Sus scrofa: one gene and its partners. Each later gene encodes a partner of the first gene's protein in a complex. Links are inferred from orthologs where the notes say so. Each region holds a gene or a part of one and is shown on either strand. Other genes may lie near its edges.

What was found. Proteins that work in one complex are often made in the same cells at the same time.
Region 2: MED8 (region 1) and MED31 share a complex: the UniProt entries of both Homo sapiens proteins name them as parts of the mediator complex. The link is inferred for Sus scrofa from reciprocal best matches to the Homo sapiens genes MED8 and MED31.
Region 3: MED8 (region 1) and MED20 share a complex: the UniProt entries of both Homo sapiens proteins name them as parts of the mediator complex. The link is inferred for Sus scrofa from reciprocal best matches to the Homo sapiens genes MED8 and MED20.

Annotation. Positions count from the first base shown.
Region 1 is NC_010448.4:167,859,000-167,864,847, reverse strand, and holds the start of MED8 (mediator of RNA polymerase II transcription subunit 8), read right to left. Parts: upstream 3,486-5,848; 5' UTR 3,455-3,485; coding exon 3,377-3,454; exon of another isoform or gene 3,315-3,376; coding exon of another isoform or gene 3,309-3,314; intron 1,828-3,308; coding exon 1,709-1,827; intron 443-1,708; coding exon 298-442; intron 1-297. Other genes in the region: protein SZT2, read left to right, coding at 3,631-3,657. UniProt on the Homo sapiens protein: Component of the Mediator complex, a coactivator involved in the regulated transcription of nearly all RNA polymerase II-dependent genes.
Region 2 is NC_010454.4:50,731,210-50,736,064, reverse strand, and holds the end of MED31 (mediator of RNA polymerase II transcription subunit 31), read right to left. Parts: intron 2,837-4,855; coding exon 2,644-2,836; 3' UTR 1,596-2,643; downstream 1-1,595. Other genes in the region: TXNDC17 (thioredoxin domain-containing protein 17), read left to right, coding at 258-333, 1,215-1,283. UniProt on the Homo sapiens protein: Component of the Mediator complex, a coactivator involved in the regulated transcription of nearly all RNA polymerase II-dependent genes.
Region 3 is NC_010449.5:37,066,556-37,071,621, forward strand, and holds part of MED20 (mediator of RNA polymerase II transcription subunit 20), read right to left. Parts: intron 4,297-5,066; coding exon 4,142-4,296; intron 163-4,141; coding exon 1-162. UniProt on the Homo sapiens protein: Component of the Mediator complex, a coactivator involved in the regulated transcription of nearly all RNA polymerase II-dependent genes.

The DNA.
Region 1 (5,848 bases):
CGCTGGCCTACGCCACAGCCACAGCCACGCCAGATCCCAGGCGCCTCTGCAACCTACACCACAGCTCGCGGCAACAGCAGATCCTTAACCCAGAGCAAGGCCAGGGATCAAACCCGCATCCTCATGGATGCCAGTCGGGTTCCTAACCCACTGAGCCACGATGGGAACTCCCAGGTCTCACTTCTCATGGTGACGTCCTACTGCACATTCAGAACTTCCAGAAGAGCCGCCCAACAGCTGTGCTCTAAGTCCTCGTCTAAGGATTCAACTGCCCAAGTTGCACCCTCTGCCTCTTACCATGAGGTCTTCATCTCGGTCTGGGGACAGCACCAGAGGGATGATGACCTGGTTACGGAACAGCGGTGTCTTTTCATGCTTCAAGACTTTGTTCAGAGTGTTTAACTGTCCGGAAAGCAAGGCAAAGCTGTCCAGGACAGACGGCCTGGTGGTGGTAAGAAGGTGTCAGAACGTGCTCAGGAAAGTAGCCTCAAAGGGGTCTTTCAGATCCGGAATACCCAGACCCACCCCCAAAAGACTCACAGCCCTCTGGCTGCTCTGGATGGGAATCAGACTGGCTACAGCGATTATGGGGTTAAGAAAGAGGGACATACTTTCACTTTCTGACACAGATGGGAGAAAGAAGGCAGGGCATTACAACAGCAACCCCCAATCTGCAGTTTCACTTGCTGAGGTTCCATCTACCTGTGGTCAACCACAGTCCAAAAATACCATATGGCAAATTCCAGAGGTAAACAGTTTATAATTTTATTTTATTTTATTTTTGTCTTTTTGCTATTTCTTTGGGCCGCTCCCGCGGCATATGGAGCTTCCCAGGCTAGGGGTCCAATCGGAGCTGTAGCCACCGGCCATCACCAGAGCCACAGCAACTCGGGATCTGAGCCGCGTCTGCAACCTACACCACAGCTCACGGCAACGCCGGATCGTTAACCCACGGAGCAAGGGCAGGGACCGAACCCACAACCTCATGGTTCCTAGTCGGATTCGTTATCCACTGCGCCACGACGGGAACTCCATTTATAATTTTAAATTGGGCACTGTTCTGAGTAGTGTGATGGATTCTGGCTTCATCCTGCTCTGTCCCAGCTGGGATGTTAATCATTGCTTTGCCCAGCCTATCTTTGCTGGTACAATACCCATCCAGTTAGTAGTATATGCAGTACAGGGTTTGATACTATCAGTTTGAGGCACCCAGTGGGGGTCTTAAAACTTATCCCCCACCAATAAAGGGGGGCTGCTGTATTTGACTGGGGTGAGAACAGCGGCAAAACAGGAACCATAGCTCCACTGTTATCACTCAAACTTCAGAAACTAGCTAAAAGCCTCCTTTCCGACCTAAATATAGGATCTACATTTTCAAAGTAGACTGGACCTAAAAGACTCAGCCACGTCCAAGGCAAGAGATCCCATATGAATACTGAAGTGGGAGGACCTCCTCCCAGAGACATCAGAGGGTGAGAATCAAAAGCTAGAAAGACCCTGAGTTGGAAAACTGGGCATTTCTCTGCTTCCTTACCAGGGAGGCCCAAAGCCAACTTCAGTGTTACACGTTGGGAAACTCAGCTCTTTTTAAATCAAAAGATGTTTGCAAACTGATAAATGTTTACATCACTGGCAATGTCCTATCCACCTGGTGACCTGGCCCCCCCCACCCATGGAGCCCTCCCCAGCTTGCCCTGGCATTGCTTACCAGGTCAGCCGGTCATACTCGTTCTCCAACTTGTAAATGAAACTCCCCAGTGAGTTCTTCAGATCAGCCACTTGACTCAGGAGTGCATCTAATGATGCCTCAAGCTGCTTCTCCTCCCTCTGCACCAACAGGAATAGGATGTTACTCAGATGAGGGTGAGGGTGGTGCCCACAGAGGCGGGCTGAAAAGCCAGGATGACAGTGCGCAACACCAGTCATGTGACACAGGATCTCACTGGCACAGGGAGAGCCAGGCTGTTTTCTATCTTTGGTATCAGGGTTATAGACAGCACCAACCCTCAGACCTTTCAACCCACTCGCCTGGCCTAATTCCTCCTACCTGCTGGTTCCTTTCTCTCATCACCCCTAATCCGTGCTTGGTTTCCTATCACATACACTATACTCTCACTCACTGAGCAGACACAGCAGACCTAATGCCTCGGGGTCATTATCTCTTGTGCCACTCTGCAGCATAGGTACTCTGACTTCTGCTGTCCTAAACCTGCCTTGGGAGCCTGGCTGTTCCTGCCAATGACACAATTTCTGAAAAATCTACCTACATGTGAAGGTTCCTTTGAACACCTGCCACTGCCACCACCACGGCCATTTCCCCCTTTCCTCTGTCCTCAGCATTTGCTGTTTCAAGCTCTTTGCTGAATTAACCGGCACTCTTTTTTTTTTTTTTTTTTTTTTTTGGTCTTTTTGCCTTTTCTAGGGCTGCTCCTGTGGCATATGGAGGTTCCCAGGCTAGGGGTCTAATAGGAGCTGTAGCCACTGGCCTGCGCCAGAGCCACAGCAACGCCAGATCCGAGACTCATCTGCAACCTACACCACAGCTCATGGCAACGCCGGATCCTTAACCCACTGAGCGAGGCCAGGAATCGAACTCGCAATCTCATGGTTCCTAGTTGGATTCGTTAACCACTGAGCCACGACAGGAACTCCATTAACCTGCACTCATTTTATCTCTGTGCCAAAATTCCTGTGCCCCTTTCACAAGCTTAGTCAAGCTATAAAAATTTACTGACAGACTACCAGGTGCAAGAAACTGACAAATGAAAAACAAAAACAAAAATGCACATGCCCCTAAGTACTAAACTATTTTAAATGCTGGTGAGGGGTTGTCTGCCAAGCATTTCCTGTCCATCTTGGTTCTTCATCTTTACTTCATTTCATCCTTAACTACCACAGGGCACAGGCTAGGAAGGAGGTAGAACTGCCTTGCGAACTCGCCAATATACAAGACAGTAGCCTTGATTCCGGGTTCCAGCCACTGGCCTCAGACTATATTAGTTTGGCTTTTGTCACTGCGGCCCCACAATTCCTTCCACTCTCGGGCTTCTCTCCAGTTATCGATCCTCTGCTGTGTCGGCAGCCAACAGCGGCCATTCAACAGCCCGGGCCGGGACCTGAGCCAATGCGGCACCTTCTTGAGCTGTCTTCGTTGGACTGCATCTTAACCTTCCCAAACGACCGACCCTTTCCCACCCCCAGCAAGTCGGTGCCGCCTTCCCCCTCCCAACTCAGGGGCCGTCTCGGTCTCCCAGCCGGGCTCCACCCCCATCTGTCATCAGTGCCGCTCCCTCTCCAGTGGGCCTCGCCTCCATCCCGCGTCCCTTTAGCCGTCGGCCGATGACTCTACCCACTCCTCTCAGCTCCAGCTCCTCACTTTCTCCAGCCCACTCTCCGTCCCGGTACCCCGACGCTGAGTAGCGGTCACGAGCGCCAACCCGGTCCTCACCTGCATCGCGGGAGCAGAGGTTGCGTCAACCACTTCCTTTTCCGGTTTCCAAGTCAGCCAATCAGAAAGTTGGGATTCGATCCTCCCATTCGTTTCCGGTTCCTTCGGGCGAGAGGCAGCCGGGTCAGGGGTCACGAGCAGAAGGGCTTCTCTGGCCCGGGCCGGCGCGGGAGGGCTGTGTGATGGCCTCGGAGCGCCCGGAGCCGGAGGTGAGGGGCGGGCGGGCGCAGCGCTGGTCCCCGAGATCCGCGGGGGAGGGGCCGGCGGCCGGGTGCGGCCGTGGCCTCCTCCGGGTCTGGGGGCGGCGGGGGTCGCCCCGAAGGCCCGGCAGTTGCATCTCCTCACCCCGCGGTCCGCACTTTCCTTGGGGGGCTGGAGGAGAAGCTCGTCGCTCTGTTCTGTTTGCTCAGATTTCATTCACGTCGCCAACTCTGGGGCCCTCGGGTTCTCCGACTTCCTAATGGTATTAACAAAGCCTTTATTTTGATTTTGCAATTTGATTTTACTTTGCTGGTGCTTCATATCTTCACGTATTAGAATGACATAATCAGCATGAATTAATTTAGTTCCAGCGCCATGATTTTGAAAGGCAGCTTCGGTTTCGTGGGGAAAATACATATATAGATTCTTTTTTGATTCGGAGTGAAACGTCGTTCACTTCGTTTGGTGCTGCCCTGTAGCCATCTCTGCAACTTCGGGCAAGGCTTGACTGTTTCCTGCTTCTTAAACACCTGTCTTAGGGTGTTTTGTGAGGATCCCATATTTTAAACCAGAAAATGCACATGAGGTATCCCTTAGTTGTTGAGGACCATGCAAGGAACTTGATCTGCATTGTGTTATTCAGACTTGTGCAAGGAAGGTGGCTGTGTCCACTTTCATTTATATGTAAGACACTGGAAAGTGAGAGACGTTAAGTACCTTACCCAAGTGCTACCCTCAGCCAGGGAGTAGCAAAGTTTTGAAGTTAGAAGATCTGGTTTGAAAAGAACATCACCAGGAAAGGTGCCCAGTATTAGAATATGATAGACGGGAAGGGTGAGAGACGTGTGAAATGAAATGACACAAAAGAGTTGTCATAACATATCGAATGCGTGCCGCGTCGTCCTGCTTTACCCCATCAGTTGATACCCTCAACCCGAAGAAGCAGACGTGATTATTTATCCCCATTTTTCAGTTGAGGAGACGGAGGCACAAAATGTTAAGGGTAACAAAGTTACACAGCTAGTTAAGTAGCGGAGCTAAGACTCCCAAACAGGTGGTCTGCTGTAGTATGGTGGTCATAATGTTTCCAGTATAAGCAGTACAGTTGCCACAGGATGGTAAATCTCCTGATCCTTGGCATGTGATGTAACAAGACCCAGGATTAAACGTGGTTGTAGGAAACTACCCTATTTAAAAGAATCAATGGCGGAGTAGCCTATGCATCAGAAATAGCAGTAATAAGAAAAATCCATGAAGGAATGTGGAGTATGTTTTGTTATGGATTAAAATGAGAGGACATGGAGCGATGTCGTAGTGAAATACAGCATACCTTTTAGACATAATCTAAAACAGCATTGTCTAATAGCAGTCTGGTGCAAGCCAAATATATGTGAGTTTTCTGGTAGCCACATTTAGAAAGGTAAAAAGAAACAGGTAAAAGTAATTTTAATATATTTGATTTGACCCCATATTCCCCCAGTGTCATCATTTTTCAAAACATTTAAAAACACATGAGATATTTAACATTCTTTTTTTTGTACCAAGTCTTTAAAACCCGGAGTGTATTTTATACTTAGAGCGTATCTCACTTTGGACTTGCAACATTTCAAGTGCTGGGTAACCTCGTATGGCAGTGGGTACCATATTGAGCACTGCAAACCTAAAGTAACTTGGCATCAAAACATATACTCCTGGAAGTCTCACTCGGTCTGAAATTCATTTGTCAAGTTCTTGATTTGCATTTCTGAAAATTTTATCTCAGAAGCTAAAGGGACTAAAGAGTTCTGCCCTAGGCAGTGACTGATTGTTAGAAGTTATTACAACCCCAAGAGAGAAAGTTTGGGCGTAGTCAGATTTAAGAAGTCATTCATTCCTCACATACTTAAATTATTTTATGTATGCTGCTCTGGGCTCAGAATTGTGCTAAGTATCAGGGTGGATTCAGAGCAGGGTAAGACACATTCCCTATTTAATGGAATGAATGAACAATGAATTATGATAATAAGTGCCTCGAAGAAAGAGTACAGAGTGAACCGAGTGTTTAACAGGGGTTCTTAACCTACTTTTGTTAAGTGGTGGGGGTGGATCAGAGAGCCTTCTCTGAGGAATGACGTTTAAGCCTGAAGAAGGAGCAGGAGGTGTCCTTGAGAAGAGGCCGAGCGCATTACAGGCAAAGGGAATAGTGAGGATCCTGAAGCG
Region 2 (4,855 bases), on another chromosome or scaffold:
GTTGTATTAGGTAGGGGTAATTCAATGAATTTGCCGTGATGTTCCTTTGGAACTTAATTGTCTTTACATTTATATTTTAGTATATACTCACGTGAAAACTTTGCACAGGGGAGTAAATCATAGAGTCAAGGTCTTTAAAATGTTCACAACAAAAACAATGATTACTAGAAGACTAAATGTAAGAATACATCAAATATTTAGCAGACTGTAAGAAACCAAGTAAATTTTTCATGATCACTTTTCTTTTTTTGAAATAGTTGGAAAGATCCAAATAATGACTTCAGGAAAAAGTTGAAATTAACCGCAGTGCCTACACTACTTAAATATGGAACAGTGAGTATCTTTCTTTAACTGTGCTGGGGATACAATTCACCCTATCAACTCTTTTAACTTGTTCTGGATTCAAATTTGAAAAGACCTTGACATTTCATCCCAAATATCATATTGCTCTTTAGCATGGATTCATAGCACAAAAGCTGTCTATCCCTATGGCCAGTCCCAATAAATTATTAATAATGCAAATATTAGCTCTTTCAGTGCTTTCTTAAAAGCCATTCTTTTTTGTTTGTTTGGCTGGGGTTTTGTTTTTGTTTTTGCATTTTAGTGCTGCACCTGTGGCATATGGGAAGCTCCCAGGCTGGGGATCGAAACGGAGCTACAGCTGCCAGCCACAGCCATGCCAGATCCAAGTCACATTGGATTTCTACACCACAGCTCACAGCAATGCCAGATCCTTAACCAACTGAATGAGGCCAGGGATCGAACCTACATCCTCATGGATCCTAGTCAGGTTTGTTAACCGCTGAGCCACGAAGGGAACTCCCAAGCCATTCTTATTTTTAAATTCGGTAGGCACTGCTGAACAAAGTTGGTTAACATATAATCCCTTAAAAGAGTGCCATCAATGTTGCTTTCTCTTTAATCCATAATTCTTGATGAAAGGGCACCTCTAGTTAAGTCATGACCCTGGAATTCTGAATTGAAGAATTAAGGGAAAGGGGGGACACTGGGCTTGCTGTCTCCTGTTTTAGTCCAGGGAGCCAAGAATTTTAATGATTTACCTTAAAGCAAATACCTTAACTATTTCATAAAATGTGTTACAACTAGTTGATAATTTCTGTTCCAAGATCTGTGTCATTCAAGGCAGAACTCATTCCCCTCCTAATAACATTTTTGTAGTGATGGGTTAAAATAAGACTGTTCTTCTTTTACAGCCTCAAAAACTGGTAGAATCTGAGTGTCTTCAGACCAACCTCGTGGAGATGTTGTTCTCTGAAGAGTAAGATTTGATGATGGCAATTGTGTCTTGATTTCCTGATTTGCTCTAGTATAAAAGAAACTGCACACTTGCTTTGAATTCATGTTAGCAATAAATAAATGATGATTAAAAGAAAAACTGTGTATGTCTAAATAATAGAGAGTACAATTAAAATGCTCATGAACCCTTAGTCTGCTTTAATATATGGATATGTTTGAACTAAGGATAAACTAAGTCTTCAGGAGTAGCAGTAGTAGCCCAAAGGGGAGGATATTATTGGAGATGGGCAGAAATATCTAAAAGCCGCTGATAGTGAAGAAGATAGTTTCCAGACTTCTAAAGAAGTTAGGATCTTTTACTTTAAATTCCATGAACTTACAAAAGAACTGTTATCCTAAAACATCTTTGGCTTTAGAATGTAGAACTTAATCTAACCACTGAAGGATAGCAAGGCACATCTAATCCAGCCCCTGCTTTTGTTTTACAGCTGTCTGATTGTGCGGGATGAGGCAGGTGGCGGAGAGGTCAGAAGCCATACAACCTAGTGGTGGGAGGCCATATAACCTAGCCTTTTAGCCAGTCTCACTGACTATCACCTACTAGCTGTGTAACCACAGGCAAGGTTCCTAACTTGTCTACACCTAAGTGTTCTCCTTTATGAACAAGGACTGTTCTAAGGATAAAATGAGAATGCAACTAAGCACTTAACATAGTGCCTGGTTTGTGGTATCTGCCAAAAAAAAAAAGTTAGCTTTCCCAAATGAGCACAAGTATCTGAGGCACCTCACCTTTGTTATAGTCTAAGGTCGAGAGTCCTATTAGTAATTAACCACAAACACTCCCTGACCTCAATTCTCCCTTAAGGCTCTCCTGCAAAGTAGCTGGTGCTCCAGGTATGCCTCCTGCCCTGCAGAATGTAGGAAATTTATGCAGTTCCTGCTTTGATGTGTAGAGGTCACTGATTCCACTTCTCTCACTCCTTAGAAGGGTGCCGTAGCTGATCTGAGGGGACAGCAAGGTTCCTAGAGACAGATTTGCCCCTGGTCCCACTGTTCATCATGAACAGTTTTGCTTAAACTTTGGGATATTTGGTGGCTCTCCCCTTGCCCCAGCTCCCCAACTCTAAAATTGGTCTGAAGCACCTAACATTTCTACTCTTAGTCAGTTGACTATTAAATACTAATGAAAGCTTACAGATCCACAGAGAAAGAACAATTCTAGTTTAAAAGAAATAATCTATTGAGAATAAAAAATTAGTTCAATTAAATAGCACACTATCGGTTCTGGGTGCTGTCACAATAAAGGTTCGGAGCAAGAGTCTTTTTCTGTCTTCATGTACAAAAGCAATATATACATGTCGTAAGAGCCTGGTCTGGATCAGCTTTTCACTTTCCTGATGTGTTATTTTGCTGTTGCTGCTCTGCCAGGGCTTGCTGAAGGCGCATCCGCTTCCGGGAATAGTGCTGCCAATGCAGAATTTGCTGCTCATCAATGAATTTTGCACATTGAGCATTCACCAGCTCCTTGCGGAAGTGTTCATATTGGAGCAGTTCTAACATGTGTAAACACTGAGGGTACCTGGGGTTAAGTTTATAAGTTAATTATCAACATAATTAAGTCAATAACACCATGCTCTAGTTGTTATTCAAAAACGATCCTGCAGCCTACCATTTCTACGGTATCATTTGTGTTACCATACCAGATGATCCTGCAACCTAACATTAACTTAGTCTATCTTGATAGTACAGTTCTTTTTTTTTTTTTTTTGCTTATACAGAAAAGCTTATCATCAAAAGCCAGCAAAATTTTCAAAAGTGAGCAAACTTAAATTTAGAAAGATTAAATAACTTGCCTAAGACTACACAATAACTGGTAAACAGTCAACATTTGGGGGCAAATCATGCTATTCTATTCCAGTGGTTTTCAAGGTGATAAACATGAACACTATTTATTTTAGTAATTGTGGGTTTAATTAACACCTATTGGTTTTCCATAAATAATGATAAAAAGACAGCTTTTATTTTAAAAGTGAGTCAGTTTCAGAAAGAACTATGCACAAATATTGTATCCTAGTTTTCCATAGGGATATAACAATTTTGAAATTATGTACATATATGCTAAGATTGAGCAAATACATAAGTATGTACACTGTAAATAGCCAAATATCCAGCTCTCAGGAAAGGAATCTCAGATAAGGAAGGGGGGAGGCTAGAAAGAATCCTGTTGTTGAGCTGGAATTGAAAACATCAGTATGAACTGAGTGGCTTTTAACATATAGAGACAGATACAGAAATAGACACATAGACACACACACACACACACACACACACACACACACACACACACACACACACACTGTTCCTTGCTTTACGTGCAGAGAAGGCCTAGAAGCAATGGCACTCCAGTACCAAGAGTACACTGAGTATCCAGGTCGTGGGTTTTAAATAGCATTATCCAGGGTTTGTTGGCATAGCTAACACAGGGAAAGAACAAGATGAGCCTGGAATATATGTAGTGCCAGAAAGGAAAATGCTCTAAAGATTAGGCGGCTATGTCAAAAGTCCTCAAGAGCCAATTTGAAGGGGTTCCCACTGGCTACATCTGGGATCACTAGCATAAGAAAATAAAAAATTACAATCCACAAGATAAAGAATCCATATTGATTTAACCTTTTAAAATGAAGAAAGAAATCAGAAACAAGGAAACGTTCCTTCAAGTGAATTCCAACTAATAAATGAACAGAGAATGATGGAATCAAGAATATCACCACAGGAGGTCCCGTTGTGGCACAGTGGCTAACAAATCCGACTAGGAACCATGAGGTTGCGGGTTTGATCCCTGGCCTCGCTCAGTGGGTTAAGGATCCGGTGTTGCCAGGGGGGTGAGCTGTAGTGTAGGTCGCAGACACAGCTCGGATCCCGCGTTGCTGTGGCTGTGGTGTAGGTCGAGGCTACAGCTCCAATTAGACCCCTAGCCTGGGAACCTCCATATGCTGCAGGTATGGGTGTGAAAAGACAAAAAAAGAAAAAAAAAAGGCATCACCACAGAGGAGTTCCCATCGTGGCTCAATGGTTAACGAACCCAACTAGCATCCATGAGGACTCAGATTCGACCCCCGGCCTCACTCAATGGGTTAAGGATCCAGTGTTGCCATGAGCTGTAGTGTAGGTTGTAGACACAGCTTGGATCCCATGTTGCTGTGGCTGTGGTGTGGGCTGGTGGCTATAACTCCAATTTGACCCTGAGCCTGGGAACCTCCATATGCCGTGGGTGCGGCCCTAAAAAGACAAAAAACAAAGCATGTCACCACAGTAAAAACTGTCTCAAGCAAGTAAGTATCTTCAGTAAATGCTAAAGTTAGTGGGTAAAAGAATGAAATATGAAACAAGAAATTCCTACAGACTCAAAGTATTTCCTCACAAGATACATATTAAATACAAAAGGAAAAATAGTACTTGATATGGATAAAAATAACAGCCACCACCTCAACCAAGTGATCAAAATTAATATCACCAGTCATAGAATGAAGTGACTGCCTGTGACTCCTGACATACCAAGAAGGATATAACATCATTTCTGTGTCACTTATGGAGGGGA
Region 3 (5,066 bases), on another chromosome or scaffold:
CAATCTTGCTGGCTTTGGCGCTCTGGAAAAAGCCCTTGAGTTTTACCATAAGCACATCAAAGTTGGTGTCGGCGATCAGGCAGGGGCCGTTCTCAAAGAGGGCGAAGCAGCTCAAAGGGTGCTCAGAATTGTGCATCACATACATCAGCTTCCCCGCCTGACCTGCAAGGGATGGAGAGCAGGGCAGTGTCAAGAGCTTCGCCTGCAGACGGGGAAGAGTGTCTGATGCTGGAATGAGGCCAAGGGGCAAGCCAGCATCACCTCAGCAGTCCCGGGGTGGAAGCCCCGCCCCAACAGCCTTTTCCAGAGGAAGTGAGAGAACCAGCAGGTGAGGGGGCAGGTGGAAATCACCCTAACCCTCCTCCCCCCGAGAAAGGTGAAGGGCACACACGGAACTTCAACAGAGTTAATTAACAGCTTCATTTTTTTCTTTTTAAACGAACATTCCCAGGCGAAGGGTCAAATCAGAGCTGCAGCTGCCAGCCTACACCAGAGCCACAGCCATGCAGACTCTGAAGCGTCTGAGACCTACACCACAACTTGCAGCAACACCAAACCCTTAACCCACTGAGCAAGGTCAGGAATCAAACCTGCATCCTCACAGAGACTGTTCGGGTGCTTAACCCCCTTGGCCACATCAGGAACTCCAGATCACAATTTAATTCTTGGTGATGGGCTCACAAATGAATGATTACTGATGACTAATAACTCACAGAGATTTTACATATGGACTTTTGTGTAGTCATATATCACATAATAAGGAAAATAAAAGTAACAGCATTTGAGCATACCAAACAAAGCAGCTACTCTCGTTCCCATCTATCCCTAACTTTCCTTGGCCTCCTCCCTCTTTAAAACACAGGAAGTGGCCCCAAAGCAGCAGCAAAGGGGAGCATCTGAGCATGAGGCCAGAGCCTTGCCTTCCTGCCCAAGTCAGTCTTCATCCCAAAGGCAATGGTGAGCCCTCAGAGAAGAGTAAGCCACCTATGAGCTGACTATGGAAGCCAGCAGCACAACTACAGCAGAAAGAACTCAGGATCTAGAATCAGAAGATCCAGTTTCAAATCCCAGCTTGCCTGTTCTAGTCTCTGAGAAATGACTTCTTGCTGAGTACCACAGTTTCCTGCAAGAAGGAAGAAAAGCTGTATCTATCTAGTTAAGTGGAAAATGGAAGAAGGCAAAAAACAGAAAGCAAGGTTCTTTCACTATTAGAATGATTGGACTGGAATTCCTGCTGTGGCGCAGTGGGTTAAGAATCCGACTGCAGTGGCTCAAGTTGCTGTAGAGGCACAGTTCGATCCCTAGCCCGGTGCAGTGGGTTAAGGATCCAGCACTGCAGCAGCTTGTCACAGCTGAGGCTCTGATTCAATCCCTGGCCCAGGAACTTCTGTAGATGGCTACTAAAAAAAATAAAAAATAAAAAAAATTTAAAAAGGGTTAATGGACTGACTGCCACAATCCCAAATACTTTTTTTTTTTTGTCTTTTGTCTTTGTTGTTGTTGTTGTTGTTATTGTTGCTATTTCTTGGGCCGCTCCCGCGGCATATGGAGGTTCCCAGACTAGGGGTTGAATCGGAGCTGTAGCCACCGGCCTACGCCAGAGCCACAGCAACGCTGGATCCGAGCCGTGTCTGCAACCTACACCACAGCTCACGGCAACGCCGGATCGTTAACCCACTGAGCAAGGGCAGGGATCGAACCCACAACCTCATGGTTCCTAGTCGGATTCGTTAACCACTGCGCCACGACGGGAACTCCCCCAAATACTTATTAAATATTTAAACTATCCCCAACTTTATGCTAGGGCTTAAGAGTCATACAAACAGAGGACATAGCCCCTGGCCTCAAGAAGCTGGCAACCTCACTAAAGACAAGCAAGAAACTTCTTAAAAGACAACAAAACAGGAGTTCTCATTGTGGCTCAGCAGTAAGGAACCCAACTAGTATCCGTAAGGATGGGGGTTCGATCCCTGGCCTCACTCAGTGGGTTAAGGATCTGGCACTGCCGTGAGCTGAGCTGTGGTGTAGGTTGCAGAAGTGGCTCCGATCCCGAGTTGCTCTGGCTGTGGTGTAGGCCAGCAGCTGCAACTCTGTTTGGACCCCTAGCCTGGGAATTTCCATATGCCGCGGGTTTGGCCTAAAAAAAAAAAAAAGACAATAAAACAAAAGTCGCTTGTCTGGGGTAACCAGAGGTCTTTCAGAAAGAAGGAAAGACTTCAGGGAAGGGAGAGGTTAAAGTGGGCAAGAGTCAGCAGGAAAAACATTCATGGGAAATAGAGGACCTAAACCAGGCTATAAAGACAGAGTAGGGTTCAGGTGGGGATAAGAGTGAGGAGACAGGTGGGGGCTTGTGATCTCTATGCAGGCCTCTACTGGCTGCCACTTCCTGAACCCGATAGGCTCTACACTCACCTCCCCCTGCACCCTCCTGACACCTGCTGCAAATTCACACCTTTCACATGCTAAATCCAATTCAAAACTTTTCAACCCTCACACAAAGACACCCAAAGCTGATGGGTCATTTTGCTCCTGAGCATACTCACTGTGATTATACACTAATTCATACTATGAGAGTCTGCAGGTGCTTTTACTGCCCCGAAAATATTCTGAAAGGCAACTAAGGTTTTTGGTCGCAGACCAGCAGCAGCACCACCGCCTGGGAACTGGTTAGAAATGCACATCCACCCCACCCTACACCTCCGGGGTCAGAAACTCTAGGGGTGGGGCCCATGGATCAGGGTGTTATCAGAGCCCTCCCTCCATCCCACCTTCCTCCTCTCCAGGGGATGCTATCACCAGTCAGTGCGAGAACTGCACATCTAAAGGCGCAGAGCCAGTCAGCAGCGGAACCGGAACTCCAGGCCTTCTGACCTACTTCCATCCTAGCCCACTGCCTGCCAAAGAGTGTATGGTTCCCCCTACTAGACTGTAGCTCCTTGAAAGTAAAGCTCTGATCAGAAAACAGAACCCAGGCCAGGGAATTTCACAGAAGTAGCATGTCATCCTCTATCTACACACAAGTGTCTTGTTTTACAAATGCTTTCACAACTGTTATCTCTTTTTGATTCTTGCCGCAAAAGATTCGACCCCTAGTCTGGGACCTTCCATATGCAGCAGGTGTGGTGCTAAAAAGAAGAAAAAAAACTGCAAAGTGCAAAAAGACTTCAACATGGAGTTCCTGTCATGGCTCAGTGGTTAATGAACCCAACTAGTATCCATGAGGACGCAGGTTCAATCCCTGGCCTTGCTCAGTGGGTTAAGGATCTGGCATTGCCATAAGCTGTGGTGTAGGTCACAGATGTGGTCCCATGTTGCTGTGGCTGTGGTGTAGGCTGGCAGCTACAGCTCTGATTCAACCCCTAGCCTGGGAACCTGCATATGCTGTGGGTGAGGCCCTAAAAATACAAAAGACCAAAAAAAAAAAAAAAAAAAAAGACTTCAACATAGGCCCAGTCTAAGAAATAAAGTCAAAAATTAATGAATTCTGGAGTTCCCGTCGTGGCGCAGTGGTTAACGAATCCGACTAGGAACCATGAGGTTGCAGGTTCAGTCCCTGCCCTTTCTCAGTGGGTTAACGATCCGGCGTTGCCGTGAGCTGTGGTGTAGGTTGCAGACGCGGCTTGGATCCCGCGTTGCTGTGGCTCTGGCGTAGGCCGGTGGCTACAGCTCCGATTCAACCCCTAGCCTGGGAACCTCCATATGCCGCGGGAGCGGCCCAAGAAATAGCAACAACAACAAAAAAGACAAAAAGACAAAAAAAAAAAAAAAAAATCAATGAATTCTGGAGTTCTTGTGGCTCAGTGGGTTAAGAACCCAACTAGTATCCATGAGGATGTGAGTTTGATCCCTGGCCTTGATCAGTGGGTTAAAGAATCTGGCATTGCTGCAAGCTGCGGCGTAGGCCAGGAGCTACAGCTCCAACTGACCCCTAATCCAGGAACTTCCACATGCCACAGGTACGGCCAGAAAAAGAAATGAAAAACAAAACAAACAAAAAACTAATGAATTCAGAAACACATTGGCCACATGCCCAAGAATACCACCCTTAGCAGAAGAACAGAAAGACTTCAATGAATGAATGTGAACGTCTGTTAAGTCCAAGCCAGGTTCCAGCCATCCCAGAGATCCATCGCTCACTGACCTTGGCTGCCAAGGGTAGAGGCAGCAGTGTGGTAGGTCTCACAGTCCACACAAAATGTTCCTTGCTTCTCTGCCCCAAGCATCTCCAATTTCCGGGTGAGTAGCTCCACAGTCTGCTGGACACTCTTGCCCTCGGCCACAGGCATCTGGGACACACTGGAAGGGAGGGGACCAAAATCATTATGCACATGGACTCACGTGAGCCAGTCGCAGGATCACAGCTCATCAGGGCCAGGTGTCAGCTTAGACACCGTCAACCCAACCCCCTCATAAAGACAAGGAAATAGAGGCCCACAGTCCCTGGGGCTCTGCTAAGAACCAGAGCTTGGTCTTAGGAGTCTCACACATTTGCAGAGAACAGCCTACTGCACCTGCATTTCCCAAGTGTGGCATGTGTGCCAATGTTTTAGGTGGCACACAGAGCGAGCATTCAGTGACACTAAGTCATGTGATGAGAAAGGAATTTACTCTGTGTTTCTTTCAGTTCTGACTCCATCAAGGAGAAAGCCTCCATTTGGGGTTACTGTGTTTTTACTAACTCTCTAACACTTTGAACGAAAGCTGTCCAGCACAGGAGCCACAAGCCATGTGCGACAGAAATGAAAACTTCAACTCTTCAGTTGCACTGCCCACATTTCAATAGCTCAATAGCCACAAGTGGCTAGGAACTGGTGTACCGGACAGTGACATAGAACATTTTCATCAATGAAGAAAGTTCTAAGGATCCTTGGATCAAAGAGAAAGCAAGCCTCAAGTTTCTAATCTTTGAGAGTGAGAGGCAACAAGAATTTAGCCAAAACAATGAGATAAAAAGTTATTTCCAAGATTTCCTTCTATGGAGAGTGCAACTGGCTTCTACTTTAAGTGGTAGGTAATAATTACCAAGCACCAACTATGAGCCAGGCAGTGCCCAAAGCCTTTAGATG